Bombyx mori: one gene and its partners. The protein of the gene in region 1 interacts with the protein of each later gene in a pairwise test. Links are inferred from orthologs where the notes say so. Each region holds a gene or a part of one and is shown in the gene's direction. Other genes may lie near its edges.

The links.
Region 2: the proteins of TRAF3-interacting protein 1 (region 1) and FGFR1 oncogene partner 2 homolog interact in a two-hybrid assay, tested with the Homo sapiens proteins (2 studies listed by IntAct). The link is inferred for Bombyx mori from reciprocal best matches to the Homo sapiens genes TRAF3IP1 and FGFR1OP2.
Region 3: the proteins of TRAF3-interacting protein 1 (region 1) and structural maintenance of chromosomes protein 2 interact in a two-hybrid assay, tested with the Homo sapiens proteins (2 studies listed by BioGRID and IntAct). The link is inferred for Bombyx mori from reciprocal best matches to the Homo sapiens genes TRAF3IP1 and SMC2.
Region 4: the proteins of TRAF3-interacting protein 1 (region 1) and spectrin beta chain interact in a two-hybrid assay, tested with the Homo sapiens proteins (2 studies listed by BioGRID and IntAct). The link is inferred for Bombyx mori from reciprocal best matches to the Homo sapiens genes TRAF3IP1 and SPTBN1.
Region 5: the proteins of TRAF3-interacting protein 1 (region 1) and structural maintenance of chromosomes protein 4 interact in a two-hybrid assay, tested with the Homo sapiens proteins (2 studies listed by BioGRID and IntAct). The link is inferred for Bombyx mori from reciprocal best matches to the Homo sapiens genes TRAF3IP1 and SMC4.
Region 6: the proteins of TRAF3-interacting protein 1 (region 1) and structural maintenance of chromosomes protein 3 interact in a two-hybrid assay, tested with the Homo sapiens proteins (2 studies listed by BioGRID and IntAct). The link is inferred for Bombyx mori from reciprocal best matches to the Homo sapiens genes TRAF3IP1 and SMC3.
Region 7: the proteins of TRAF3-interacting protein 1 (region 1) and intraflagellar transport protein 20 homolog interact in a two-hybrid assay, tested with the Homo sapiens proteins (2 studies listed by IntAct). The link is inferred for Bombyx mori from reciprocal best matches to the Homo sapiens genes TRAF3IP1 and IFT20.

What each region holds. Positions count from the first base shown.
Region 1 is NC_085131.1:5,588,686-5,592,851, reverse strand, and holds the end of TRAF3-interacting protein 1, read left to right. Parts: coding exon 1-1,014; intron 1,015-1,090; coding exon 1,091-1,249; intron 1,250-1,528; coding exon 1,529-1,740; intron 1,741-3,275; coding exon 3,276-3,432; 3' UTR 3,433-3,465; downstream 3,466-4,166.
Region 2 is NC_085119.1:12,368,756-12,372,713, forward strand, and holds part of FGFR1 oncogene partner 2 homolog, read left to right. Parts: intron 1-572; coding exon 573-686; 3' UTR 687-3,958. UniProt on the Homo sapiens protein: May be involved in wound healing pathway.
Region 3 is NC_085131.1:14,291,110-14,295,150, reverse strand, and holds part of structural maintenance of chromosomes protein 2, read left to right. Parts: intron 1-362; coding exon 363-473; intron 474-760; coding exon 761-882; intron 883-1,198; coding exon 1,199-1,355; intron 1,356-1,675; coding exon 1,676-1,867; intron 1,868-2,548; coding exon 2,549-2,684; intron 2,685-2,983; coding exon 2,984-3,159; intron 3,160-3,226; coding exon 3,227-3,410; intron 3,411-3,536; coding exon 3,537-3,610; intron 3,611-3,886; coding exon 3,887-4,033; intron 4,034-4,041. UniProt on the Homo sapiens protein: Central component of the condensin complex, a complex required for conversion of interphase chromatin into mitotic-like condense chromosomes.
Region 4 is NC_085124.1:11,160,073-11,164,758, reverse strand, and holds the start of spectrin beta chain, read left to right. Parts: upstream 1-1,631; 5' UTR 1,632-1,991; intron 1,992-4,686. UniProt on the Homo sapiens protein: Fodrin, which seems to be involved in secretion, interacts with calmodulin in a calcium-dependent manner and is thus candidate for the calcium-dependent movement of the cytoskeleton at the membrane.
Region 5 is NC_085134.1:4,032,763-4,036,803, forward strand, and holds part of structural maintenance of chromosomes protein 4, read left to right. Parts: intron 1-985; coding exon 986-1,103; intron 1,104-2,949; coding exon 2,950-3,133; intron 3,134-4,041. UniProt on the Homo sapiens protein: Central component of the condensin complex, a complex required for conversion of interphase chromatin into mitotic-like condense chromosomes.
Region 6 is NC_085129.1:4,090,724-4,094,764, reverse strand, and holds part of structural maintenance of chromosomes protein 3, read left to right. Parts: intron 1-131; coding exon 132-295; intron 296-1,093; coding exon 1,094-1,301; intron 1,302-1,908; coding exon 1,909-2,085; intron 2,086-2,774; coding exon 2,775-2,911; intron 2,912-3,491; exon of another isoform or gene 3,492-3,807; coding exon of another isoform or gene 3,808-4,041. Other genes in the region: lipase 3-like, read right to left, coding at 3,808-4,041. UniProt on the Homo sapiens protein: Central component of cohesin, a complex required for chromosome cohesion during the cell cycle. The cohesin complex may form a large proteinaceous ring within which sister chromatids can be trapped.
Region 7 is NC_085116.1:6,783,240-6,787,755, reverse strand, and holds intraflagellar transport protein 20 homolog, read left to right. Parts: upstream 1-1,626; 5' UTR 1,627-1,724; exon of another isoform or gene 1,725-1,928; 5' UTR 1,929-1,930; coding exon 1,931-2,054; intron 2,055-2,284; coding exon 2,285-2,439; intron 2,440-3,757; coding exon 3,758-3,874; 3' UTR 3,875-3,913; downstream 3,914-4,516. UniProt on the Homo sapiens protein: Part of intraflagellar transport (IFT) particles involved in ciliary process assembly. May play a role in the trafficking of ciliary membrane proteins from the Golgi complex to the cilium.

The sequences.
Region 1 (4,166 bases):
CAAGAGGCAGAGAAAACGAATGAACTCTTACAATGTTTGGCACAAGCTCTAGACAACAATTTATCGTCAGTAGAAGCAGTGAAAAAATATAAAGAAAATGCATCACAAAATACTGTGCTTATAAAAGAAACGAGATCTAAAGAATCGATTCCTAAGAAAAACAGTACAAAAAACTTAATTTCTAAGAGCAGCGATAATTTATCGAACCTAAAAAACGAAGCAAAAGAAAAATCTTCATCTAAAAAAGAAAAAGTTGAGAACCAACCCAAGCATGAAAATATTGCTAAGAATGAGCCGCAAAACAAAACGAAACAAGCAAAAGGGAATCCAAAAAAAATTGTACCGCAAGGTAAAAAAAAATCTACGGAATCACATGTACAAATAACGGAAAAAGTTAAGACACAAAGAGCTTTACCCGACCCTCAAGAAATTAAAACCCAAGAAAAAATTGAACTCAATGAAGAAACTCAGTGGAAAATAGACAACAAAACTGATAATTCGGATTCAAACACAAACGATGATTTAAATCAAAGCAGTAATATTGAGACACCAGGAGCACAAGACCAATTGAGCACTTCTTACGCTATAAATGAGCAAGATCTGAATTCATCATCATCCTCACAAAATTTAATGGGCGAAAATGTTAATGAAATCAGCATAGATACAAACTCAAAAAAATTACATACAAACGAACATCTATCGTATCCAGATACACCAACTACAGATAATATTATTAAGGATTTAAATGTAAATAAAGTTTCACAAGAGCCTTTGCTTATTAACACAAAATTAAAAATCGAAAACGATCAATCAGAAACAGGAAATAATTTCGCTGTAAAGCCAGCTGAATATTCTACACCCTCCGTGGTTCAGAGACCAGCTAGTGTAAGACCATCTTCTTCGAGGCCTGGAGCACCACGACCAAGAGAAAAATTAGAAACCATAATTTCTGAAAACGAGAATCTAATTTTAGGGAAAGTTAATATTATTGCAGAACACGTGCAAAACGACGAGGTCAGGCTAATTCCTGTTTATCCTTTTTTTAGACTCGCAAATTTTATGAAAACTAACTTTCTAATTCAAATTATAGGAGGAAGACAACTCTATCATAATCGCGGAGCAACACAATAGTTCAATGACCCAAGATATATCCGGAGACTTACAATCGCTGAATGACCACGGTCATTTAGTGCAACAAATAATCGATGCGCAGAGAGAACTAAGCAAGATTTCGGGAAAAACTGAAATTGTTAGTGCCATTTAGATTTTGATGAATTTGAAATTTTGCAGATGCATCAAGGATCGGTGGCAATGTATTAATTTTATTACGTTGGCCTTATTTCCTAAGTCGTGTGAATTCAGCTTATTATTTGTGTATATTATGTAAAATTTTAAATTAGAAGTTTATTTTAAATCAATTCGTTTATTTAAATAACATTTATGTTCTTGCCTTCACCTCACAAAATCACGTCCCTGCTATTTAAATCTAAACTATTAAACAAATCTTTACAATCATCAATTTTGTCAGGAATGGGAGTCTGGAATCCAAAAAGCCAGAGAAACACAACATCAAGAAATTGAACAACTAAAATTCAATATTCAGGCTTTATCGCGTGTGGCCAATCCTTTGGGAAAAGTACTCGATCATTTACAGGAAGACGTGGAAGTGATGCGACAAGAACTAAACCAATGGACAAACATGTACGAAGAAATCACTAAAGAGACGCACAAGCAAAAATTGTGAGATATTTAGTTAAATGTTTTTCACTTACTGCATTAATAGAGCGGAGTCGTAACGGCATTATCACTTAAATCGTTCGGCACCTTCAACTCTACTCAACTCTGTAAAAAGGCTGTATACGTAAAAAAAACAGAAAAAAATTTCGTTGGTAATTAATGTGAATCATTTAAAGTACCTACGTGTCCTTTCCAAAATTTTATTAGATTTTATTACAAATAATATTTACTATTACGGATTATATAGGTTAATGTAGGTTGTTAAATTGTTTTTTTGTTTGTAGAAATTGCCCTTAATAGGTAGAATGAGCTCATTGTCCACGTGGTGTTATGTTATTACAGTACCGCGACATGATAACATGTTGCTGCTACTCCTCTTTTTAAGGCATGAGGTCGAAGTCTCCATTGTTTTAATATGTAACGGCATGGGACAATTATTACGCCGTGCAATAAATCGCACGACCAGTAAAGTTATTTGTATTCGTTAGTGCTTAAGTTTTTTTTTTCTAATTTCTTGGTAGTAGCTAACTGCCGGATTGTGATTATTTTTGGAGATTCGATTTACCCATGGCATTTGATTTCGAGTTCGAGAATTTGTAAACTACAATTTATCAAAGTTGCTGAGACCGAAAAGTTTCTACTTATTAATAAAACTAGATTAAGTGACATAGGTTGATACCAGGTAGATCTCTAATTTAATAAATTACGTTTTATTTAATTACTTTTTATTACCACATGTACTTACTCGAATGAAATAGCGAGTCTCTCCTAAATTTAACCAAAAGCCAGCTAATAGTTTTAATCATTGAAGCGTCTTATGCCTAATGAGTATAACGCCCCTTGTATACCTATCGAGTGATGTGGGGCTCTTTTTTCCTAACTAATTTGTGTTTACCTGTATACGATAAATAATTATAAAACGGGACGTGTTTAGCGAACGATTACACAGTTAAGGAATAACATTGTGAAGTTCAAGTCGAGCCCGATATTTATTGCAGGACAGATTGTAAGTCCACACGGGTACATTCTAGTATCCTTCCTGTTTCTGTTATGAAGCGATAACACGTTCCGCTTTGAAGAGTAGGATAGTCGGTAGTCCAACTTTAAAAAGGAATTACTAGTGGTAGGACGTCTTGTGAGTCCGCACTGGTAGGTACCACCACCCTGCCTATTGCTAAAGCAGTAATGCGTTTCAGTTTGAAGGGCGGAGCAGACTTTGTACGGTTAAAAGTGAGACCTTACAACTCATGTCTCAAGATCGTTGGCGGCATATACGTTGTAGATGTCTATGGGCTCCGGTAACCACTTAACATCAGGTGGGCCGTGAGCTAGTCCACCAATCTAAGCATTAAAAAAAGGAAGTATACCATCCATAGAACATTATTATTACATGTATTATCATTTAGTATAATCAAACTCATAAATGAATAGTTTTTTGTTTGCGTAGCGTAAAAATAGGCCCTAAATCCAGGCTTAATATTAATTCCCTTTCATTTCTTAATTAATTTTCAATGTCTAATGCTTTGTTTTTTATTCAGGTGTAATGAAGAGTCTCTTATACCTCTGCGTACAAAATTGAAGCAATTGGACTTAGAAATCCAAGAAAAACAAGATAAAGTAAACGACCTCAAAGTGATAATACACAAAAACTCGTCGAGAATTGAAAAATTGCTTGCTACCGGGAACGTGCAATAATTTATGTAAATTAATATAAAAAACAAGAATGTTTTTTCTTACATTTCTTTAACCCTTTTAATGTTGAGCTTATTTTCACATATTTTGCAGAAATTGCGAAAGGATTTTTGAAAAAAATACCTTAATGATTAAGTGTGCACAGAATCTTAATTATTTTCCTCAAATATAGATAGATTTTCGTAATTATTTCGTGTACGGGACATATCAAATTACTCAAATGAAATATATTTTTTACTATACAGTATTAATAAAAAAAATATCCAATAGGCTTTTTAATATCGGCGTGTAAATGTTTTGGTCCGGGAATTTCGAAAAAAAAGTATTATTTGTTTCGTTGGACAAAAGTACCTATATTACAAGGAAGTTGCACAAACGTATCGGAATCAAAGCCGTCCAAAACATTAAACTCATCTTTGGAAGATTCACCACTTTCGCTACAAATACGCATTCTTCATTCGTTCTTCATTTGTAAACATTCTAATTTCATCATCACTGTCACTATTTTCATGAAAAGAAAGAAACATTTTCCCTCAAAGCTTCACAAGTGTTTTCTTCATCACTATTTGACGAATTTGACATTTTGTAAGTAGATTAAAAAAACTTTAATTAAAAAAATACAAAAATCAAATTCACAGCAATTTTTTTTTTTTCAAATGTTATTCATGCGCGCTCTAAAACACGTACGCATCGATACCTATAATATAATTATAGATAATACCTTCGATCAACAATAG
Region 2 (3,958 bases), on another chromosome or scaffold:
CCTGGAATAGTATATAAGCAGCTATCGCTTCTATTTTCATGCAGATCCTGCCTATGTGCGGGACTGTCTGTAATACCTTTTATTTATTTGTTGTGTATTTCAGTGAACGAATCACAACCATAATGTGAAAACGGCCACCCACCGTCTATGCCTTAATTGTATGATAATTATGGAAAATACAATTTTTGGAGCTTTAATTTTTATTCCACAATATTATTCATTTGTTAATTATTTCATAAGAGAAATTGGTATCTGCCTGATGTATAGTTGCATTGCTTGGCACTGTTGTATGTAATTGTTTATTGAATCACCATATGAATGTATAAATATAAAAAAAAACTTTTCGTTTTGTTCTCAAAAAATTATTCAAATAATGCCTATTTTGCTTTGCAACAAGAAAATATTTTAGTAGAAACGTAGTTACATTATTATAAGTTATTACCTAACTAAATATAGTTATCTTCCATAAAAATTACACAATAGATATAGAGAAAAGAAACTTTACATTACTGTGAACTATTTCGCGACAGAGAAATACGTTTGTAAATTGGATATCATTTTCGCATTTACAGGGCCTGAGAGAAATGCTGGATCTATCTCGAAGGTACGGGTCTGATCGTGTGATGGCGCCTCCAATGGAGGACAAGGACGTTCAAACAGACGGCCCGCCGCTGACGGGAGCGTGACGCCCCGCGCTGCCGGCACACCGACCGACTGCTACCTCGCGCGCTCACAGGTAGATCCTGCAAAATACTCCTGTCTGCACATCTGAATGTTTTTACTCACAAATTTAGAAATGTCAAAAGTCAGCTCATCAGGCGATGATTTTCATTATCAATTAGTCGGGTTTCGTTTTTTTCAATAATTGAAAGATCACAAAATGATGCACACAAAATTCGGTATAAATAATTGCATATGTTTTGTAATAATATACATGTGTATTTAATGATTTCACACAAGGTATTAAGGTTTTATTAAATAAAGAAAAATCTTTTACTGCATGTAATGGTTTATTTAACAATGACATGATCTTATAACTTTATCAAGTAATAGTGTTTGGTATCAAATTTAAAATTTATTTTAATTGAATTTAAGACCTTATTAATAATTATTATAAAATATTATCTGAAGTTTTTTTTATTGCAAAGTATAAAAGTAGTAAAATCGTATTATGTTACTTATTTTAAATAAATAATGAATTAATCGTTTTGTACATTCACTCTTTGCATTCACAATTTAAAAGAAATGAATTGTTTAGGCGATATGCCAAACTTAAATGATACATAAATTGAGACACATAAGTGACTTCTCTAAACATAGATCAATTGTTGCCTGATTACACTAAAATATGTTTCCTTGGTTTTAATTGTAATAAATAGTCTACCCTTAAACTGTATTCTTTGTTGGCTATCCTATTGAAAGGGGTGCATATAAGTTTAAAACGTATTTCACTGTCAGCCAAATCTATAAATTATCATGAAGTTTGTGGTATTTGGCATAAGTTACATGTGGGTTAGTCGTCCTGTTTGTGCTGGTCAAAACTGTTTAAACCATTAGCACTACATACACAAAATGCGCCTGCAATGACGATGTAGCGAAACTTGGTGGTTCCAATATTGTTTTCCGGACAATAAAGCTGTACTTTAAATTATGTGTAAGATATCTCAGAACTGTAAAGGGGTCCTTTGCCTAATGCACATGTGTTTGTAATTCATTTGTGCTGACAGAGAGCTTTAAGCAAAAAACAGTGACCGTTCCAGTATACAAATTTATACCTATTGTTACTCACAAGTTTTGGATCCTAGGTCTATTGACATGGTTTACCTTTCCGCTTGATAAAAAAATGTGACAAGAATACAGTGATACAACATACCTTTCAATGTAATGATTATTTGATTTTTCCTTTATTTGAAGTTTCGGTGTCAATAATTTGTAATGTTCTAAAAAATGTAGGAATAATCGTTTTACTTTCTCATTTAAATTAGAGTTGATGGTTGTAGACGTGATAGTAAATTGTAACGTGTTCAAGTCTCATCTCGTAGATGTAACTTCTTAAATAATATAGTCTCTTTCACAGCTACTGTGATCTTCAAAAAGTTTTTAAATGGTCCATATTCTCAGCGAATTGACCATTTAAACAGTAGAGCATTTAACACTGATAACCTTTAAGTAGTGTTACAACTATTATTTACTTAAGTATCTGAAATAGAACTACATAATATTGTTTTTCTTTATCTGACTTTATCTGATTTACAAATCAAAGATTAAAGATTACAAAGATCTACAAATTATTCTATATTTGAGGTAGATTATCTATTTTGTATGTTTGTCACACCTCGTCAATGTGAGACCGATTTGGATTCATATTATTAAGTTAAATTATTTTAATTGTCGAGTATATGAATATTATTAAGATAATGGACTTTTGTTAATTTGAAAATAAAATTGTACGCTTACACATACAGTTTCGTAAATTTTTAATTCAAGATTTTAATACTCGTTACTGTATACCTTCTGGTGTTGCTTTGTAAATTTATAGTGTTGTACCCTATTTAGAATGATCTTAGATTATTCGAATTTCACTTATTATGTATTAGTAAACACGATAAACGGACATTATGATTTACTATTCGATTGACACCTGCAAGCTAGTTATAATGATAGTAGACTATAATATTATACAGGGTGTAAGAGAAACGTTCCTGAGGCCAAATGGTATAATTCTTAAAATTCTTACTTTTGCTAAATAAAATGAGTTAATGAATATGAGCAAACTGATTCCAGGTTTGTAAGCCCTGAAAGAGCACTGTTCAGCATCAGTGCAGCTGTCTTGACAATCTTGACAGTAGTACAGACCCTTTATCTATAAGTGACATTTGGTGAATTTTGAAGTCGTCGTGGCCTAAAGGATAAGACGTCCGGTGCATTCGTATCTAGCGATGCACCGGTGTTCAAATCTCGCAGGCGGGTACCAATTTTTCTAATGAAATACGTACTTAACAAATGTTCACGATTGACTTCCACGGTGAAGGAATAACATCGTGTAATAAAAATCAAACCCGCAAAATTATAATTTGCGTAATTACTGGTGGTAGGACCTCTTGTGAGTCCGCACGGGTAGGTACCACCGCCCCTCCTGTTTCTGCCGTGAAGCAGTGATGCGTTTCGGTTTGAAGGGTGTGGGGCAGCCGTTGTAACTATACTGAGACCTTAGAACTTTTATCTTAAGGTGTGTGGCGCATTTACATTGTAGATGTCTATGGTCTCCAGTAACCACTTAACACCAGGTGGGCTGTGAGCTCGTCCACACACCTAAGCAATAAAAAATAAAAAAAAATTTAGGGCTTGTAGCATTTACGTCTGAACCTTTACGGCTTAGTTTTTTTGGGTGTATTGTTAGTAACCTCGAGGGGTTTTGCTAGTTTCACACGTGGGTTTAAAGCGTTAGCTGCAGTAATACGACTTTGGTTAGTTGAGCATTGTTGCGTGAAAAACCTCTGACAAGTTCTATGAGGCGAAGAGGGGATGTTTATTAAAAATACGTATTATACGTAATTCAGTATACCTATTTAGCATAGTTAGTCTCTATTTCGGGTCCAAGCAACAATACCAACATCGGCCTTCGATTATGCCACATAGACATACTGATTTTTCTGTGTTTACATTGTTCCCCAGGTCAGTTTCTGTTATTTTTTATTATCGCCGTTAGCTGTCATAGTGAAACTTTGCTTGGTCGTTAATATTTGTGACCTTGCTCGTTCACGAAGCCCGCTATAGAAAGCAGAGTATTAAATACACTTGACATTGGCGAAATCTAAAAGGAAACGCCATAAACCTAAGAGATAGATAGATAAGATTTTTCATTTGCTGTTGAATAAAAATTACTCCTTATAGGGATATACCTTATAGGTAATGGTATGCATTTACGCAGGTTTAATAGTTGTAATTATTGGTATTA
Region 3 (4,041 bases), about 8.7 Mb from region 1:
AGTAATTGCACACTGAGGCTTGGATGCCTTTTCCCACGGTGGGTGGCGGGGCTCCCGTATCCACTTAAAGTCAGATGGGCTGTGAGCTCAATGACCTATCTAAGTAATAAAAAAAGGCAAAAAACCTGTGCTGTAATTGTGTTTGACATCCTTGTGAATAAATGAAATGTAACTAATTTAGCTGATCTAATGATTACAAATTTCTTCTAATAATTATAAAATACAATAAACAATAAAAAGGCCATAAGAACATGAACATGGTAAATTGGCACTAGAGACATTCATGTTTAGCATTGGCATCCAATAACCACATTGCACTGAAGGCTAAAATATATACAGCTACAATACCACTTTTTTGTTAGATATTATCAATGGTAGAGGAAGCGGCAGGTACAAGAATGTATGAAGCTAAAAAACAAGCAGCACAGAAAACTATTGAGAAGAAAGATGCAAAGCTCCGGGAACTTAATGATGTAAGTCAATTGTACAATTTTACTGTCACTGCACACTGTACAAATGTCGATTCGTTTTAAAGCATAATATGACACAAATAAAACTATTTTATCACTTCATCAAATTAGTAGATTTCTAGGACTACTTAGGTGGACTTTCAGAACTGCCAATACTTTTTTGAATAAAATAATGATTTTGTAGAAGGGATCACAATTAATCAGATGTAAATTTTTTTGAACTGAACTAAAACTTCTCAGAAAATACATTAAAAGAACTGTTGTGGCAAAATTGTTTCTGTTCAAAATAGATAATAAGAGAAGACATAGCACCTAAACTTCAGAAGCTGCAAGATGAAAGATCTCAGTTCCAAGAATATCAGAAGGTTGTCAGAGAATTGGAGAATATCACCAGGCTGTGTGTCGCTTGGAAGTGAGTATGGTCATTGCCTAAGTTCCTAGTCGCCACAGGACTGCGCGGCCGCCCGTGTGCCTCCCTGTTCAGTGTAACACAAAAATGTCAGTATGTTGAGTACTTCTTAGTATGTTGAGTACTTCTTTCTTTCTGTTTTAAATACATTAAGAAAAGAAAACAATTTTATTGAACATCTCTCTCTACAGTATACATGCACAAGTGTCCATAGTATGTTTATTACCTTCCCCTTCTAAACCACTTATTTACATGATAGAACAAGGCAATATTTTAGCACATCATAGTCACGAAAGTTAAAACGATATCTCCGTTACAGGTATGTTTCTGCTGAAGAGCAAACCAAAGCAGCAGAGGGAAAAGTCACGCAAGTGCAGGACGACATTAAATTGAAAAAAGAGACTATTAAAAACAATGAGAAAGAAATGAAAGAGCTGGATAAGCAAGTTGTTGACTTAAACAAAAAACTGGATGAGGTAAGAGACAGCAGTAAGTCGTCGCTTTTCGTCCGTGAGTCCAGCCCCAGAGCGGGGCTCTTGTCGCATTCTATGCGGTCCGGTGTGAAGGGATACACTTGAGACTTGCACTTTATGTCTGGATCTGGAGCAGAATTCACATAGTAATGGTTATTGGAACTGATATCCATTGTGCATTAGGCAACCATGAGTGCGTTTAATCCATAATTTAAGGAATCTGCTATCAATTCGTGTCGTTATTATTCATCGGATGATGTAGTTAGCTGATAAAGTTTAGACTTTTTATATGTAAACCACTAATCATTTAATTATTGTATCAGGAGAGTGGGAATGTCCTCAAAGATTTGGAAGTAGAACTTCAAAACTTGGAGAAGGTTGAAGCAGCAGCAAGTTCACAATATAAAGGCAGCAAAGAAGCCCTGAGCGGACACGAGAAGAGAGTCAAACTACTCGAAAAGGCACTGGCTGAGGACGAGCAGGCTCTCACATCAAAGCAACAGATTCTTAATGAGGTGCGGTCCCAGCAGGATACACTTGACACTTCTTGAAAGTAAACTGTCTTTGGATGGAAACATTCGAATTACAAAGATAAATTAGAGTGAATCGTTTTAGTCAAATGGTTGGTTAATTGTTTCCGGTGACTCTTTCTTTTATTAATTTATTCATGCATGTGGTTGTGGAAACAATATTTGTGATGCTCAAGCTCAACACACCTCAATGCACTCAAAGAAAACATTTATTTTACCTGCTCTCCATAATATGTACTTGTTTTATATGTGAACTAAATTATGTCCTAAAGACACTCCTTATAATGGCACGGACCTGTACATGCGTGAAGAACTACAATACATCTGTTTAATAACCAATGAATGACCGATATTGTAAGTGTAGCACAGCATTACGAAGAAAACATGGCCTCTGCACTGAACTCTTCAGGTTCGCAGTACTAGCTCACACCCGGTATGCACTGGCTGTCTTTTCTTGGTCTTATGTGGACTCACAAAATATAATCTTGATAAATCTTGACAAAAAGTATTTATGCTTTGTTTACGTTACTCTTGACTTAGTAATTTATTGCTGTATCGGAATCGGATATGGCTTGATACATCCGGTATGTAGGATCCTTGCCTCGATAGACATAAGTATTCAAGAAACTGAAAATGTTTTATTTAACTATTACTATTTTACGAAAGGTCTCGTCAACATTCGAGAACCTTCGCACATCTAGTGAGACCAGTGAGAAAGCTTTAGCGGAAGCACAACAGAAGTTCTTGGCCGTGAGCACCGGGAAGGAAGATGCTTCTGAATCGCTGCAGGACCAGCTAATGGGTGCGTCTTGACGTTATGACAGACTAGTAGAAATTTATCTCACCTCACTTGTCGTAAGTTGATAGTGGCTACAGGTGTCACAGATAAAAGACTAATATCGTATATATCATCAACAAACAAGTCAAAAATTTTCGTTCCTTAATATCAGATAGTGCACTGTTGATCGTGTCTCCCCAATACTCCATTATTGACCCAATATTCCACTACGGATACACAGAGAGTACAGTGCACATGTCACACCACTAACCACTAACAATAACACTGACTATTTTCATGCTTATTGTGGTTGCTCTTTGTAGCTGCCAAACAACAGGCGTCGGAGGCGTCCACTCGCATCACCTCGGCCATGATGGACAAGAAGCACGCCGAGGAGAGATTGAAAACTTTGGAGAAGGAGTTCACTACCAGCAGCAAACAGTACGACGCGGATCAGGAGAGCATCCGGCGGCAGCAGGCGCAGGTCGAGCAGCTGGAGGTGGGTGGGTGGGGCCGCCGGGGTTCGTGTCGCGGTTACAGCCGTCTGTAGCGTGGGTCGGTTGCAGCGCGAGCTGGCGGGGCTGGCGCACGACGAGTCCCGCGTGACGTCACTGGGGGCGGCGGTGCGGGGCGCGCAGGGGGCGGCGCGGGGGGCGCGGGACCGGCGGGACGCGCTGGCGGCGGCGCTGCAGCGGTGCCACTTCCGGTACTCCCCCCCCGACCCGCACTTCGACCGCGCCAGGGTCGCAGGTTCGACTACATGTCTAGCTCACATTTCTACTTTATGTTAATTGTTTAATATGATCTTTATATTTTTGATGATTCAAAATCTACAGGGTGACCGCAATGGCGATTAAAATGTTGCAATGATTGCAGGTACCGTCTGCAAGCTGATCGACGTGTGTGATCCGGTGTACTGCACCGCCCTGGAGACGGCGGCCGGAGGACGGGTGAGCCCGCCTTATACCGCTCGCGCTGGGTCTCAAGTGTCCCTGTCCTCTTAATGAGAAATGACGTATTCCAGTTTCTATTAAACGCTAATAAACACCATCAGAGACAATCAGTGTGCTGTTATATGTTAAAACAAATAAACAACAAATATCTATCAGTTAATAGAAACTGAAAAAAATTGTTTCGATGTTGTAAAATACAGTGAAAGTAAACTACCTCTCTGACTGTTAAACATTCGATATTTGTATTAAATAGTGCTGATGTGATTGTTTCAGTTATACAATGTAGTGGTGGACACCGAGGTCACGAGCAAGCTGCTGCTACAGCGGGGCAACCTGCAGACCAGAACTACCATCATACCGCTCAACAAGATCTCCGGACAGGTCATCGACAAGAGAATTGTGCAGATAGCTCAGGAGATTGTACGTAG
Region 4 (4,686 bases), on another chromosome or scaffold:
AAACGCGACCCACTGAGAAGATCCGGCGAGAAACTCAGTGGGCTGTGTCTATGGGTTAGTTCGCTCGTCGAGCCCTTCGTCGCAAGCGACGGGTTCGACGAGGACGGTGACCGGTGCTTGTGGTGCCTAAGAGCACCGTTAATGGATCAGGAGGATCCGTAATGACGTGCTTTGGGCGACGTCGACGGTTTACCATTCGGTCTACTGGGTCGGGTATGTAATTTCCAGCGGCTACGATGAGAGGGTTCTCATGTCGTGCCGCCTTCTCAAAATGGCGCAGCGATGCCGACTGTAGATACTTACTGACAGAGTCAAGCTCCAGGTCATCGTGGAGATCCACGTTCCTCAGGAACCATGGTGCTCCGACGGCTATCCTGCAGAATCGGGATTGAATAACCTGAAGGGGCTTCAAGTTGGTGCGGGTTAGTTCCATACTTAGAATGGAGAAGCACGAGGAAGATAGCAATCTTCTTTCCACGTACCTACTAATTTAAGGGCCACACGGGCCATTTACTATCCACAAACTACTGCCACTGCCATCTATCGAATTGAAAGGAAAATTTTCAAACTAGTCCATGCTCATCTTTTATAGTCTGTGATAATGTATTGATCTGTGGTCTTTGATGACTGCATAGCAAAGAAAATTAGCGAACATCAATTTATTTGTTTCAAATATGTAAATAAAATTGAAGTTTCTCTAAAGGTTTAGAAAATTTAAAAGCTTTTTTTAACATTTCATTTTATTCAAATCGGTTAACTTTTTAAGTCATAAATTCGTTTTTTTTTCTTTTGCCCCTCACTAAGATATAAGAATGTTGCGATGACATCACTTTCTCAAAGAGTGATTAGAAGAGATTGGATAAAAGATATTTCAGTTAATGCTATTTACAATGTCGTTTAATGGATCAAATAAGTTTATTATTGAAATAATCTAGTTAATTAAATTAAACTATTATAATTAAATTATAATAATTAAATTAAACTAGATTAATTAATATTTAAAAAAAACATCAGATAATGTTTGAAACATTGTTTCTACGGCCCAATATTTTTTTACCAAATAGAAACTCTAAACTGTTGAATTAACGTGTCCCAAAATTTAGATTGAAACAATGGTTATTTTTTAAGACTTCAGTAGACTTTTTGGAAGAACCAAGAAGCCACGTCCAGCGGATTTAATTCATTGTCCCATACTTATGTACTACAACAGATGCTAAACGGTTAATAAGCTAAAAATGTTATACGTTGAAACTTTATGAAACGCTAAATAAATAAACGAAAACAATTTATACAACTTCGTCCTTCGCGTTCCTACTAAAAGTCCTTAGGTCCTGCTTAACTGATAGAGTATGTTTGTGGGGACATAAAATAGGTTTAAGGGACAGAGTTAAGGAGAAGATAAGCCCAGAATATAAAGTACTGCTAAAAATGGAAGATGTTGACTTAATAACTAATCAATAGCTAGAGAATCGGAGACATTCTAGCTAGTAACCGAACAAATTGTTCTTGCGTAAACTCTTTCCCTGACTTCTATAGTCAAAATTTAGTAAATTTACTACCTATGTAACGAACTAAATATACTATTGCTGCTAATATGATAAAATTAATAAATGCACTTCTCGAGCTATTTACTCTGTGATATGGGCGGACCGAAGTTGGTTGGCTTTTGGTTTTCGCCGAATATATTAAGTGTATAATCTATGGTTTTCGCGGTCGGTCTTTCGCTTCGCTCGATGCCGTGTTCGTACTCGTATTCACGGATGATAGTACAAGTCGTTTTTACATGATTAACGGCTACATAAAAGTTTCAGACAAAAAGTGAACTGTGTTATGTCAAAAAACTGTTTTCATAGTGTAAGTGGCGTGGAATCCTATTTATTAGTTCTCAGACGGCTGACCGCCAACTCGCGTATTCTAGTGTATTTAGTGTGCTGACGAATTTTATGTGCTTGACTGTGCTGTAATAGCATACCTTGGACTCGCAGGAGAACGTAAGTTCTAAAACAATTTATATGTAATATCATGTTTTATTCGTAAAACGTTTATTGTCAACGAAATATTATTGAGAATCATTCGAAACAGTTATTTAGGCCAACTCTATTTAAGCCCATTTCTTTTATTTTAATGAAAAATATTCATCTGTAATTTGTACCCAGTACTGTTACTAATTTATTATAATGTTTCATAAACTTCTTAATAGTCAGATGCAATTGAGCTATTTGATAAAGACGCTTCCTTAAATGCCGTTAGTGAAAGCTAGTTATGGAATGTCTGAAGTTGTGTATAATTGGTTAAATTAAAAAAACAAATAATCGAAAAAACTAAATACGCCAATAGCTACCTATCGGTTGTACATTTGAAATTTTTCTAGGTCAAGAGATTAAAATCATATTTACCATCATAAACAAGACATTGGTCATAAACATAGTAATGAAAAATCGGATGGTTCATTACCATTAGTCCACTCTTATAGACATCTGGGTGGATCTCCGTTTACAGAACAAGATAAGAAATCAAAGTGGAACTGTTCCAAACATTCATGCTAGAAAAGTTCAAAATTCAAATATGGAAATAAATCTTCATGAGTAATTAAACAAAAATCAAGTAATTAATTAATAACTACCATTATCATAATTGAATGCATTAAAAATGATTCTAAAATTTGACCTTAATTGTCACCAAAAAGTTTTCCTTAACTAAAATTTAACAGTTTGATTTTCAAGTCGGTTGTTGATTATGTAGGACATCGTTTAATAAATATTGCATCATAACTGCAGTGCACTTAGTGCAGACTAACTGTGAGCAACAATGTGAGAGTGTTGATAAAATTACACTCTTAAGGATAATTTTAAAAATTTATTAAGAAATGTAAAGACAACTATTTGTCACTTGAACTACCTGGGACCTCCCCCAAAGTTCACCACAATGCCGGGTTCAGTGTAGTCTGCATCTAGCAAATTGCCACATCCTTCAATAATCCATACAACCACACACTTTAGAACACACTTTTTGAACTTTTTGGCCCTAGATGCCATCTGTTCTAGAGCCAATGTACCTTCCCAATATGCCAATATAATGTCACTTCAACCTCGTAATAATTGGGCTATATTGGTTATCACAGCTATTCTAGCTATACCTTCATTCTCCATTTAATCTCTCACAGAAATTATCCATTTCAATAAAACAAAAGAGATAATATGAGATTTGTAAAACATCCAACTAATCTTCAGACTGATTAAAAATATTGCTTTGAATGTTGGATAACTTTATTGTGGTGAGCTTCTTTCTTTTGGATCTTTAAAACCACATGCTGTATATATTCAGCTACTAATTTAGGTTTTTTTACATGCCAAAATAGATTAAACCATTTTCTGTTAATGTTTTAAGCTCCTCGCACCAGAGAATGCTCTTTAATATTTGGTAAGTATCTTTTACTGGAGAAATGTTTAATTGAGCTGTCATAGTTGAGTATATACAAGGATTTTGTCCATAGCCTCTAGATCAGAATCAGCGTATATTATATTTAGACAGACATGGCATTATGGTATTATTAATCCTTTGATTGCCGTGTAGGTTGCCAATACCCTACGTGGTGCACTGAAGTTCTTATGTCAATTTCTGTTACTAAGACACTGAAATGTCTAGTAAACTCTGGACAACTATGAATCCGAAGATACTAAGAATGAATCTATTTCAAATAGCCTAAAAGACTAAAATATATATTAAAAACAAAAGTTGACAATCCAGGCACTTGATAACTGTTTCAGTGCTCCAGATAGAGCACCAGTGACTTACATGCCAGTCAAAGGGTTCAGGGATCCCATTTGTCTCTACCATTTCATTAAAATTTTAATAATAATTATGTAATTGAAAATATATAAATTTCAAAATAAAAAATGGTTCGGTCGCATTCAGTAAATTAAAAAATGTGTTCCCGTCCAAAATCGCTCAGTGCCTTAAGAAACAGGTGTAAACTAATGTGTTTTACTAGTGATGACTTACGGTTCCAAGATGTGGTGCTTCACAAGGGATATTTGTAGGAAGCTTAGGGTCGCGCAGCGAGCTATGAAGAGGGCTATGCTTGGTATTACTCTACGAGACTGAATCAGAAATGAGATCTGTAGAAAAGCCAAAGTTGCTGACATAGCCTCTAGGATTAGCAAGCTGAAGTGGCAGTGGGCAGGCCACATAGCGCGGAAATTGAACGGCCATTGGGGTGGAAAAATCCTCGAGTGGAGACCACATACTGGCAAATGCAGTGTGGGACGGCCACCTAACAGATGGATCGACGACTGGTGAGAATCGCTAGGTCACGTAGAATACAGGTGGCAATGAACCAGCCGCACTGGAGATTGGTTGGAGAGGCCTATGTTCAGCAGTGGACAGTGAACAGGCTGAGATGATGATGATGTCAATTTTACTTATGTAATGTTTCGATGGTTAATATTACCTGGCTAGACTATACCTAATAATATAATATAATTTTAAATGGGTATAAATTGTCCAGAAACACAAACTTTCTTATTTTTTAACTCATTTGGATGATACTTAATTGTAGTTAAATGCATAATTCAATATATAGTGTGTTGATAATATTACTCACAATTAAATTCACCCATAGTAGCCATAATGGCGCTGATAGAAGTGATAGATGAATATGTGAAAGTACTACCTATTTATGTTGAA
Region 5 (4,041 bases), on another chromosome or scaffold:
TACTCAAGGTCAGGAGGGGTTCAAGTTATGTCAGACTTCTCAAAAATATTCCTAGATTTCTACTCGATGTAGTAAAACTTTGCAGAGACATCTGTACTAATATTATAAAAGGGAAATATTTGTTTGTTTGTATTGAATAGGCTCCGAAACTACTGAACCGATTTGAAAAATTCTTACATTGTTTGGAAGCTACACCGAGTGACATAGGCGATAATCTTTTTTGAAAAATATTAGGGATCCTTACTAAAACTCCAATAATGTATCCCAATAGGTAAAAAAAAGTGTGTGTGTCCGCTCCGACGCACGACTGGAGTTTACTGGATATAAAAAATTAAACGAAACAATACGAGAAATAGTTCTATATTACGACAACACGATACACTACAGATTATTAACAAATTAACGAGACACAAAACAAACGACTAACAAATATATGAAAATACAATAATGAGAGAAACGCGCGATCAGTACGAGGCTTTGTGGCGGACTGCCGGCGCAGCAGCCCGGCGTCACCTGCGATAACGCGGCCGCGCGTTGGCTCCTGATTGGCGCGCGCACGCATCACGCAATCAGGAGCCAATCAGGCGCATAACGCATTTCGTGTGACATGCTAGTACGATTTTGGTCCCCATAATTTTCATACCCCGGGCCTATATATGTAAATCGATTCTAAAGGAGTAAACTCCAAAAATTACCTAAAATAATCTTTACATCGCGTGCCTGCGAAAACTATTGATGGTATAATAAAATAATGTACTACTGCTTTGTAGAACACATTATTATTTACCAAAAGTGTCGGGACAGCATATGTCTAACTATTGTAGTTATGTCGCAATAAGTGTTCTTTTATTTAAAAAAATAAAACAACGTCAAATATCGTTGAAATTTTTGTTAAAGACCCGAGCGGAGCCGGAGCGGGCCGCTAGTTTAGTGTAAAGTTCGAAACTCCAATTCTGTACAATAAAAAATAAACTTTTCCTTCCAGGATTCAATACGATAACAATGAAACTGAAAGAGATGTACCAAATGATAACATTGGGAGGCGACGCTGAACTAGAACTTGTTGACTCGCTGGATCCATTCTCCGAAGGGATTATATTCAGGTATTTTGTTTTAAGGATCGTACTATACCCGATCCTGCGGACCGAATGGAAAGCAGTCGACGTCGCCCCAAACACGTCATTTTGGATCCTCCCGATCCACTAACGGTGCTTTTAGGTACCTCAAGCACCGGTCACCGTCCTCGTTGAACCCGTCGCTTGCAACGAAGGGCTCGATAAGTAAACTAACCCACAGACACGGTCTACTGAGTTTCTCGCCGGATCTTCTCAGTGGGTCGCGTTTCCGATCCGGTGGTAGATTCTGCGAAGCACGGCTCTTGCTAGGGTTCGTGTTAGCAACGTCCTCAGGTTTGAGCCCCGTGAGCTCACCTACAAGCTCGGCTAATCTAGAATAACCCCTAGAGGCTACTAGAATAGGAAGGAAAAAAATATATATATTCGTACTGGCCTATGATAATTTATGGAGTATTTTTATATAAAGCCTCTTATGTGTTTAGTAATAAAATTATAATTCCCTTGACTGGTCTTCATCTCGAAGTCTCAATTGCATATATTTTAATGTTTAATTCTTCGTAATGTAAGTTTATTTCTAAAGAGTATTAAGGCAATGGCGCCGATTCGATATATGCGATTAAAATGTCTGAAATGCAAAATTTCGACTAGTGGTAGGTAGCATGTGCTGTGAGTCCGCGCGGGTAGGTACCACCGCCCTGCCTATTCTGCTGTGAAGCAGTAATGCGTTTCGGTTTGAAGGGCGGGGCAGCCGTTGTAACTATACTTGAGACCTTAGTACTCATATCATATATAAGGTAGGTGGCGGAATTTACCGTCTAGTTTTTTTTTTTGCTCCGCTAACCACTTAACACCAGGTAGGCCGTGCGCTCGTCCACTCATCTAAACTATAAAAAGTAAATCTATACATAATGTGTAAAATAACTATATTTGGGCCTGTATTTATCAATGTTATGTAAGTAAATAAGCAGAAGAGTATAAAATGACAGACAAAAATAGCACATAAGATTTGCTTAAAATCAACTTTATTAAAATTAACAATTAATAAGTAGTTAGTTTTGATTAAAAACAATCTTTATATTCATAGGTATTTATTGTAAAATCACAATCAAATAACATTGAATTTAAAATTCTTCTGGGTTAACTAACATAATCTAATCTAAGTAATTAGTTAAAAGTTAAGTAATCAGTTCTTTTACACACATTACGGGCAGCGCATTCGGTTTTGTATAGAATGCCTAGGCAAAGTATAAAATGAAAAATATTACATACTTTACCTTAACGTTTTAGGTATTCTATACATTGCCTAAGTATTGTATAGAATACTGTATTATACAGATTGTCGGTAACACATACAATTTTTCACAATTTTTCCCCGGTCACCGTCCTCGTCGAACCCGTCGCTTGCGACGAAGGGCTCGACGAGCGAACTAGCCCATAGGCACAGCCCACTGAGTTTCTCGCCGGATCTTCTCAGTGGGTCGCGTTTCCGATCCGGTGGTAGATTCTGCGAAGCTCTGCTCTTGCTAGGGGCAGTGTTAGCAACACTCCGGTTTGAGCCCCGTGAGCTCACCTACAAACGTTAGGGTGAAGCTGAAATAGCCTCTCAAGGCTATCAGGATAGGTAGAAAAAAAAAAAAAAATTATTGTCTGTTTGTTCCGGTTAATCTCTGGAACGGCTGGACCAAATTTGACGAGACTTCCACTAATAGGTAGCTCATGATATAAGGAGTAACTTAGGCTACTTTTTCTAGACTTGCTTAGCCCCGCGGCGTCACTCGCGGTACGAAAATAACCGCAGATAACATCGCGGGACTCGGCCAGTAAAAAAAATAATAATCTCACGACACCTAAATAACTCTTGTTTTGTTTACAGCGTGCGTCCGCCGAACAAGTCCTGGAAGAACATATCGAATTTATCGGGCGGCGAGAAGACGTTATCCTCACTGGCCCTGGTTTTCGCTTTACATTACTACAAACCAACGCCTCTGTACGTCATGGACGAGATAGACGCGGCCTTGGACTTCAAAAACGTTTCGATCGTGGCAAACTATATTAAGGTCGGTGACCTTTACATATTAATATATTATAATAATATTACATATTATTAAATACGGGCATTGCTGACGTCCATGAGCGACGGTGACCACTTACCATCAGGTGGGCCGTATGCACGTCTGCCTACAAAAGAAAAAAAATATATATTTTTTTCTTTTGAGGGATTTTATGACCTGGTAACTAAGACATTTAAGTCATGTCTTATTTTAATTTAAATTATTATTTTTTATGAAAAATGATAAATATGGAGTGAAATGAAATGAGATGATATGGGATGAAATATAATCTCAGTAAAATAGTGGTCATCTACTAAGATATTTTCAGTGGACTTTTTAGAAGTTACGTCTAGCGGCTTTGTTTCATTTTCCCACATTTGTGCACTTTCACAGATATTAAACAGTTAATAAACCACCGTTACTACACATTTAATCCTAAAGAAACATTACAATAGACAAAATAAAACAAATCACACAACTTCACTCCTCGCAGATATAGTACAGATACAGTAAGAGCTCTTTATCCACGAGATATGTGTTCCGTAAATATGCCGTGAATATCAAATGGCTATTTAGGTTTTTTTTTTATTATGATCCGATAGACACTGGCGGGTAGCCATCATACAACGCAAGATATTTGACAGATGCCTGAATCTCACTTACGATATTTTCAAGATAAGCTTGCATATATACAAGTTCCGAACAACAATATTCGGACCGTCGGTCTACCGAGCAAATATCACCCGCTCGGTGGAAGATCTTCCCTTTCGTCGTTTAAGCCTCCCAAAACACCTACAATGCAAATGCGCCCCCCACCTTGAGATATAAGTTCTAAGGTCTCAAGTATAGTTACAACGACTGCCCCACCCTTTAAACCGAAACGCATTACTGCTTCAAGGCAGAAACAGGCAGGG
Region 6 (4,041 bases), on another chromosome or scaffold:
CATTAAATAAGCAATTAAGAGATTTTTTTTCTCAACCTCTAGGGGATAAATTTATATTTAAATTAGTTTAAGATACATATATTATTTTTCTGAGGTCAAATTGTATAATATTATTTGTACTATCGTTATAGGAGTTGATGGAGCAACTATCGACCGCGGACCAAGGTAAAGTGGACGAACTGAACGACGCGATTCGCCGCCTCACCCTCGAGAACAAGGAAGCGTTCAGCGCCAGAATGAATCTCGAAGCCACAAAGAACAAACTAGAGAATCTGCTGACCAACAATTTGATTCGGTTCGTTCATCGTTCGTTCGATAGTTTGTGTAAAGTTACCGAATTTAAACCTCTAAAAATAATATATTAGCTTGTAAATTGGACCCGCTACAGGATTTAATAAAGAGGTTTCAAGACATGACGTGTCGCACTGATTGTATAACCGTTCCGAATTTGTGACCAATGAGAATAAATCATTAGTTTCTGTGCGCAAAAAAAGCAAATTTTGTATAAAACTTAACGCTAGGCAGCGGCTTAAACCTGGTATTGCTGATGTCCGTGAGTGACGATAACCACCATGAGGCGGGCTGTACACTCTTTGCCTACAAGCACGATAAAAAAATATAATACTTTTTTTAGTATTATTATTTAATTTGGCAAAATCTATACAAATCAATAAAAGTAGAGTGTAAGTGTTTGTAATAATAAAATAACCACTTTTTAGTAAATGCGTAAAAACGTATACCACAGTGCATAGTAATATACCTACTTTTTTTTTTGTCTGTCTGTCTGTCTGTTTGTTCCGGTTAATCTCTGGAACGGCTGGGCCGATTTTGAGGAGACTTTCACTGATAGGTGGTAGCTAATGATATAAGAAGTAACTTAGGCTACTTTTTTATACTAGCTTCGCCCCGCGGTGACACCCGCGGTACGACAATAACCGCGGGTAACATAGCGGGACTCCGCTATCATGAATGATAAAATTTCATGTTTCCGAAGCGAAGCGAGGGCGGGTCGCTTGTCTAACATAAAATCAATGCAAATGCATGCTTACATATGCTATCAATGGTAATTGAACGAAATCATTTCCTTCGACAGACGTAAAGACGAATTAGTACAAGCTCTACAAGAGATCTCTGTTGAAGATCGGAAACGTCGTCTCGCTAACAGCAAAACCGATCTGTCCGCCACCGAGAAGCGCATCAAGCAGATCAACAAAGAACTAGAAGAGGTCGAGAGGAAAGTGCAAGCCGCCGTCAAAAACGAGAAGGCTCTCAAATTGGAGTTAGATAAATGGAGGAATAAAGTAAGCTTTGAATGAATGAATGAATGAATGAAGAATCTTTATTGCACAAAAATATTGTACAAAGGCGAACTTTTTATTTATTTATTTTTTATTGCTTAGATAGGCGGAGGAGCTCACAGCCCACCTGGTGTTAAGTGGTTACTGGAGCCCATAGACATCTACAACGTAAATGCGTCACCCACCTTGAGATATAAGTTCTAAGATCTCAAGTATAGTTACCCTTCAAACTGAAACGCATTACTGCTTCACGGCAGAAATAGGCAAAGTGGTGGTACCTACCCGCGCGGACTCACAAGAGGTCCTACAACCAATAATTAACCAATTAACGCCATGCAAGCATTCTCTTCCAGTTAACCCTCTTTGATGAAGTGAAAGATTCAAGAAGTGCGTAACTGTGTTAAAATTAATATATGGCGATAATTTAAAGAATTATAGTAGACATGAGTAAAATGAACGGAGCAATGAGCTATAATTATTTAATGAAGCTATAGTCATTTTTAATCGCGTTAACAATCAAACGAACCCTGAGTTAGTACACCCATTGGAACAACAATAAAATACATGAGTAACAATAATTTGTTGAACTCATTTTTCTCAAATTCACCAGGAAAAAGAAGCTCAAGATAAAATGGAGGAGGACGCTAAGGGTCTAGAAAAGATGGCTTCCAAAGAAGTGTTGCTACAGGACAAAATTCAAGAGTCGCTCGATAAAATAGCAGCCCTGGGCACACTGCCCAACGCACCCGAACTACACGCTAAGTACCAGAAAATGTCTCTGAAACAGGTTAGTTAACTATATTACTGAGAAAACAAGTTGACCACTGATTGCAGTAGGCACTTTGAAGGAGAAAAAAATAAAATAAAAAATGTAATGGTATAAAATGTATATATATAATGAGAGTTATGTGTTAGATTTTTTAAGTCACTAACATAGATATAAGTAATTACTACTAACAAAATGTTATGGTTTTAAAAAACAAAACTGAAATAAAGAATTAATAATAATAATAAAAGCTTAATACAAAAACAGCTTTTCAATGTAAGTAAAGTTCGGTTTAAATACATATATGATAAGAATAATAAAACTATCGAAAAGTAATTACGCTTCAAAAATGGTTCCACGTAAATAGCTACCGCGGAGGGCGGGGCTTAAAATAGCTATATAAAATAAAACAATTTTGGTCACATAATTAAGAAAAAATGTTAATTTGTTTCAATCACTATTCCACTATTTTCAGTATTTAACGTTTGTATATATAATAATGGGATTTAATGAATTCTTTTTAAATATGTCCATCAAGATTATGAGAACACATAGATGAGGGTGAAGATAAGATGAAGATAAGTAAAACTATCGCGCTTCACACATAGAGACCGAGTCAACTAAATTATATAAAAGTTGTAGTTGCATAGCAGTAGTGGTAGAAGAATAAAAATAATAGAATTAAATTATAATAAAAATTCTTCTCGTAGCTCTTCAAAGAGCTGGAGAAAGCCAATCAACATCTCAAGAAGTATAATCATGTCAACAAAAAGGCCTTGGACCAGTTCATTAGTTTCTCGGAGCAGAAGGAGAAACTGTATAAGAGGAAAGAAGAACTCGATGTTGGGTGAGTCACACTCTTGCTTCGATTTTCTTCATTGTTAAGCTATTGCATAGCTTTGAGCTTTGGCTTTGAGCGCGGTGACCGAATCAAGAAATTCCGTAACATAAATAAAACCTAACACCCCCACTCCGCTTACCTCGCGCTCAACACATTCACACGTTGCGCTTGTGTAGTGTTTGTGAATAAGCGCGCAGCGTGACGTTGCACTGCATGCGCATCATGAAAAATCTGCCCATCTCTCTCTCGCGCGGTCTTATTTATGAGTGTGAAGGGGACAGTTAATGTTTTGTTTTCGTTAATGTTTATAAATATAACGTGGTCTATTTTATTATTGTTTTAATATTAAATTATTATTGTCTAATTTCAATAATATGCAATTTCGAAAAGGGCATATGTCGCATATTTTTTCAAATACGTTTTTTCATATACATGTAGTTTTGAGGCTTACCTACACCCATTTTATAATAATTCCAGTAATTTTCAATTACTAATTAACACTAAAATATATATCAAAAGTTAATATTTTAAAATTTACACTGCTTTAGAAAATAATCATTTTTTTTCATTTCCTGAACATTTTACATTTTCAGAGATGTGCCCTTTTCGAAATTGCATATTTAATTATAATTGCATAAGTTGATAAAAAATCCTATGCAATAGCTTTACTGTGCCACTCCCCGAGTGCTACAGGTGTTTTTTTTTTTGTATTTTATTTGTTTGTTAAAATTAAAAAAATTTACATTTTGTGAGCCGTGACAGAACTTGATATAATCATGATTTTATTATACACCAATAAGCCGCTGACAGTTAACCATGTCAAATTAATTATATAGTATGTGTTTAAATAAAAGTACTTCAATATGTTCAATATATTACACTAAATTTATTGAAATTAATTTTTATTTAGTAAAAAAATTATATCGCATCGATTTACTCGTTATCTTTAAACCATTTTCAAATTCGAAGTTGTCTATGATCGATACAATTTTGTCGTAGACGGCGTGCCTACTAATTTTCGCGTAAACAAAATCGATGTGACTCAGGTCTTCAATGTAAACGGTTTCTCGAACGTTCGGCAGACAATCCTTTAGTCTCTCGACGTCTATTTTATCGGAGAACCAATCCTCTCCGCT
Region 7 (4,516 bases), on another chromosome or scaffold:
ATATTGCACTATTACACATACAAATGAAACACCTTGTAACTAAATAAATATTTTTGATAGTTTAACAAGGACTAACATACAATGGGTAGTGCCGAAAACAATAATGAAATTAGAAAACACAAAATCAAAACATTTACATACTTAAATTCCAATAGAACTATATTACATGAAGCGGGTATTTGGTATCATAAATTCGGATTTAATTGAAACGATTAAAGTCTTGTTATTTTTTTAATTAAACAAACACTACAGATCTGTCTAACTGCTTATATAGGTACATTAAATAATCATTAAATAGTATTTATATATAATTAAATCACATAATCTTCACTTCAATTTTATGAACAAAGCCTTGTTATTCTTGTTATCATAAACTTTTTTTTAGGGGATTTTATGATCTGGTAACTGAGACTTTTAAGTCATGTCTTATTTTAATTTATATTCATATTTTTATGAAAAATGATATTATGGAGTGAAATGAAATGAAAATGATTAATTTGAGACATTAATCAACTGGGATGAAATCAAATGAAATGAAATGAGATGATATGGGATGAAATATAATCTCAGTAAAATGGTGGTCATTTACTAAGATTTTTTCAGTGGACCTTTTTCGAGGATCCCGAGAAGTTACGTCCGAGCGGCTTTGTTTCATTTTCCCACATTTGTGCACTTTCACAGATATTACACAGTTAATATGCCACCATTAGTACACATTTAAACCTGAAGAAACACTAAATAGACAAAATAAAACAAATCACACAACTTCACTCCTCGCGTTCCCGGCAAAAAATCATCATAAACTTTAAAGGAACAAATTACGCAAATTGTAAACTATTTTATTTATTTAAGGATTACCAACAGGGTTTACAGTAAGACATAAAATAGCATTGACATGTATAGAGCAATAATAATTGATAGCTGCAACTCTAATTAGAGGCAATCACAGCATGCATTACATGAACAGATTTAACAATAATAATAATAATAATAAAACAAAAGAAAGACAACATGGACAGCAATACCCAAGTATTCAGACCAAGGCTGAGGTCAGTTCAACAACAACTTTTTATAATTTTGTTCCTGAATATTGGAAGGGAATCGCCAAATATGTCAAGGTTTTCAGCTTTACTGACTAGATTATTATAAAAGTTAGTTAGACGAGGAGCAGGTGAGTGCAGTAAATTGGTTCTGCTAAAGCGGGTGCTGAAAAGAGCACCGCTCATAACTTTTTCGTGATTTGGACAATTTTTTACGTGATAAAAAGTTTTCTTCCCAGGAGGCAGTACAAAATGCTTTCACTCAGTTTGTAGAATCTAGATCACCAGGGTTCTATAGCAAAAGCATAAATGACCTTCCTATTAGATGGTAGCAATGTATAGATACATAATAATGGTAGATATTTTAATTAAATAATTATTAAAAAAAAAAGGTTTTTAAATTCTTCAGTACAAATCGGCAATTTCATACTTTAACGCTTAATATATTAATTTAACATATTCAATCATTATTTCAAATCTGTCACAAAGTGAAATACGTTTTTAAAATACTGTTTTCTTTACAATACCTGTCTATAAAAAGACTAATCCTTTTCGTACAAAATACTCATTAATCTAGAACTGTTTTGATAAAACGACTCCATATTATATTGTTTTAACCAACGTCGATACGTTGCTAAGACAACAAAAGCAGTACAACTAAAACAAACAATACCTACATTAATAGTAAAGATTATAAAAATTACATTACATTTAAAAAAAATAGCAACTAGAAGATTGATTTGCTATTGGTATTCTTTTAGATTTTAGTTACAAATCATAAAGAAGGATACAAATACAATAATTTATTTAATGTACTACTACAACTATAGTGAAATTACTACTACAGTGTCTAGTTACTGATTATTATTATTTTATTGATTCACTCAGTTATGGCAGAAGAATTGCAAAAAGTTCACCTATTTTACGATGACATCAATAAAATAAAGGTTCTTGAGGAGAATGTTTTGAAAGATACTGAAGATTTAAGGGACACCTGTAAGGAGTACGAAAATAGTAGGTATCTGAGTTCAACTGTAAACATTGGATACGTTCTATGTATACACAAGTTTTTATTAAACTTAGTTATTGTTGTCGTTATCAATTAATGTTTCAGTTTATTGTAAGATCGTACGAGCTGGTACGATTACTCGGATTGTTGGATTTAATAACCGAAAATCCTACGATCTCGTGATATTTATGTACTAGTTATTAGTAATATAACTGTGCCATTTTCGGCATTGCAGAGGTGCAAAATTTTGAAAAAATTATAAGCTCGCTGTTAGATCTAATTAAAGATCTCGGCGACAATGTTGAAAATAAGAAAATGGCTGCAATAGGAGCAATGAACTTATTAAAATCAATAGCCAAAGATAAGGAATCCGAACAGCTGAAATTGCAAGTAAGATTGGTTCTTTATTATCATAATTTATAGATAGCCATTTAATTAAACGAAAATATAAATTTAATAACTAGGTATGAAATGTTATATAATTTTGTTGGAAAATGTCTTCAATAATTTAATTTCGTGCTCAGGCACTCAAACTTTACCTTTTACTCACTTTACTTTTTATAAACTTTTTTACTCAAGATCTTACATTTTAGTTCATTTTACCGTATATTATAAGACTACTTTAATTTTGGAAGCCATCTTCTATCCTTAAAAAACCCGTTTTTTAACCTTTTCTTATTGCTCACAAGGAGCAGAGAAACCACCCCACTCCAAGTAAGCCTATTCGTCACAGCGAGCAACATGGATATACTGTGACTACCCCATTGTGTTCTTTTTTTTCTTTGCATATCAACATACATACATGGACATATTTCCATTACTTCAACATAGCAGAGTTTGCTCTCCGAGAACTGTGTATCTTCTGCTTTGCAGTAGTCACACAGTATGCTGTACAGACGTTTCTCCCTTCATCTCATAATATCAGCGGGCGGGATTAGCAGCAGAGCCCAGTCCGTACATTTCCCTTTTCTACGTGTTGTGTCCCGTGGGGGTTTTCACTTGAACCGGGACACGCACGGGAACTCGAATCCTTTAAGTAGGGCTATGGCGTGAAGTTTTTCTAATATCGTTTGCCAGAATGATTTACATTTAATAGCCGCGAATGCGTTCGGTTCATGTTTTTAATGTTCTAGATAGCTCACTGATTTAATTAAAGGCATCTCAGCGCTGCATTTAGTCAATCTACTTGTGATTTTATTGCTTTTATACACGATAGAGCGCTGTGACTTAGGTGTCTTCGCAGCTTCACTAAGATGGACGGGCTTTGTCAGAACGGATGGAATCTAATAACAGCTCCTCGAACAACTCCAAAAGACGTTTAATAGGTCATAGAGATCGGCTCTGCGAGTGTATTTATCACATAGGATCGGAATCACGACCTGCTGAGAAAAATCGAAAGCAACTCATTGCCTTTATGAGCTTATTGTCACTCTTCAACTAATTTCATCCAGAAATTAGAATCAAAAATATTGAAACTTATGTTACGTACTCTTTTCTTAGGGTCGTTAAAAAGATAATGAGAGGTAATTATTTTATTCACTAGTGACGAGTCATATGACAAACTGACAGTTGTGACCGTTGACCGGTTAATTTAAATAAAGAATATTTCTTCTGTTACTGTGATGTAGCTTTTTTTTATCATCGCTCTTATTGATAACTTTAATATTGTACGTAAGTTTGATGAATACAAGAAATACAACACTTTCAGGCGGAAATTAACGACAAGACTTCATTATTGGAACAAATAGACAGCGAATACGATACACTTCAAATCCTTGAAGCAACTCAGATGGAAACAATTGAATATCTTACACAATTACGTTAATTTTAATAAATAAATAAATAAAAGTGATTTTTAGTAATATATTTAGTATATATTATTATCCTTTTCAATCGGTTGTTTAAGTTCTAATAATATTATTACCTCTACTTATTTGTTTAGAATTGATACCATTAGTTAGGTATTATAGCAATGGATTTTCAGTTATAGAACGCGTTCTCAAACCATCATTAACAAAATATCATTGGGCTTGAAAATAACGTAATGTGTTATCTTTAAATCACCGCTTAAGTTTACGAGCCCTTAGCTTATATGTTAAATGTAGTCAGACTTCAGTCGATAGTTTGTAATCATTTTAATTTTCCTGTTCATCAACACACATTAAATAATAAATCCGTAGTATTGTGATTTTACAAGTTACGGAATGCAACGCTTAATGATTAAATTAAGTGGCGTTCATGCCTCTCTGCGCCGCCATTATCCTATCACTGAAGTAAACAATCTGGTGGGATCAGGAAGAATATATTTTAAAAAGGAAGTTTTAGGCTTAGAAAAATAGATATCCCAAGTGTATAAACCTGAAAGGGGACTATGACGAAAAATAAAGAAAATAGAATTTAATAAAAGTTAATTGCGTCATACTTATTATCACTCTATTTAACACCCCTAGTTTAGTCTCAAATCTCA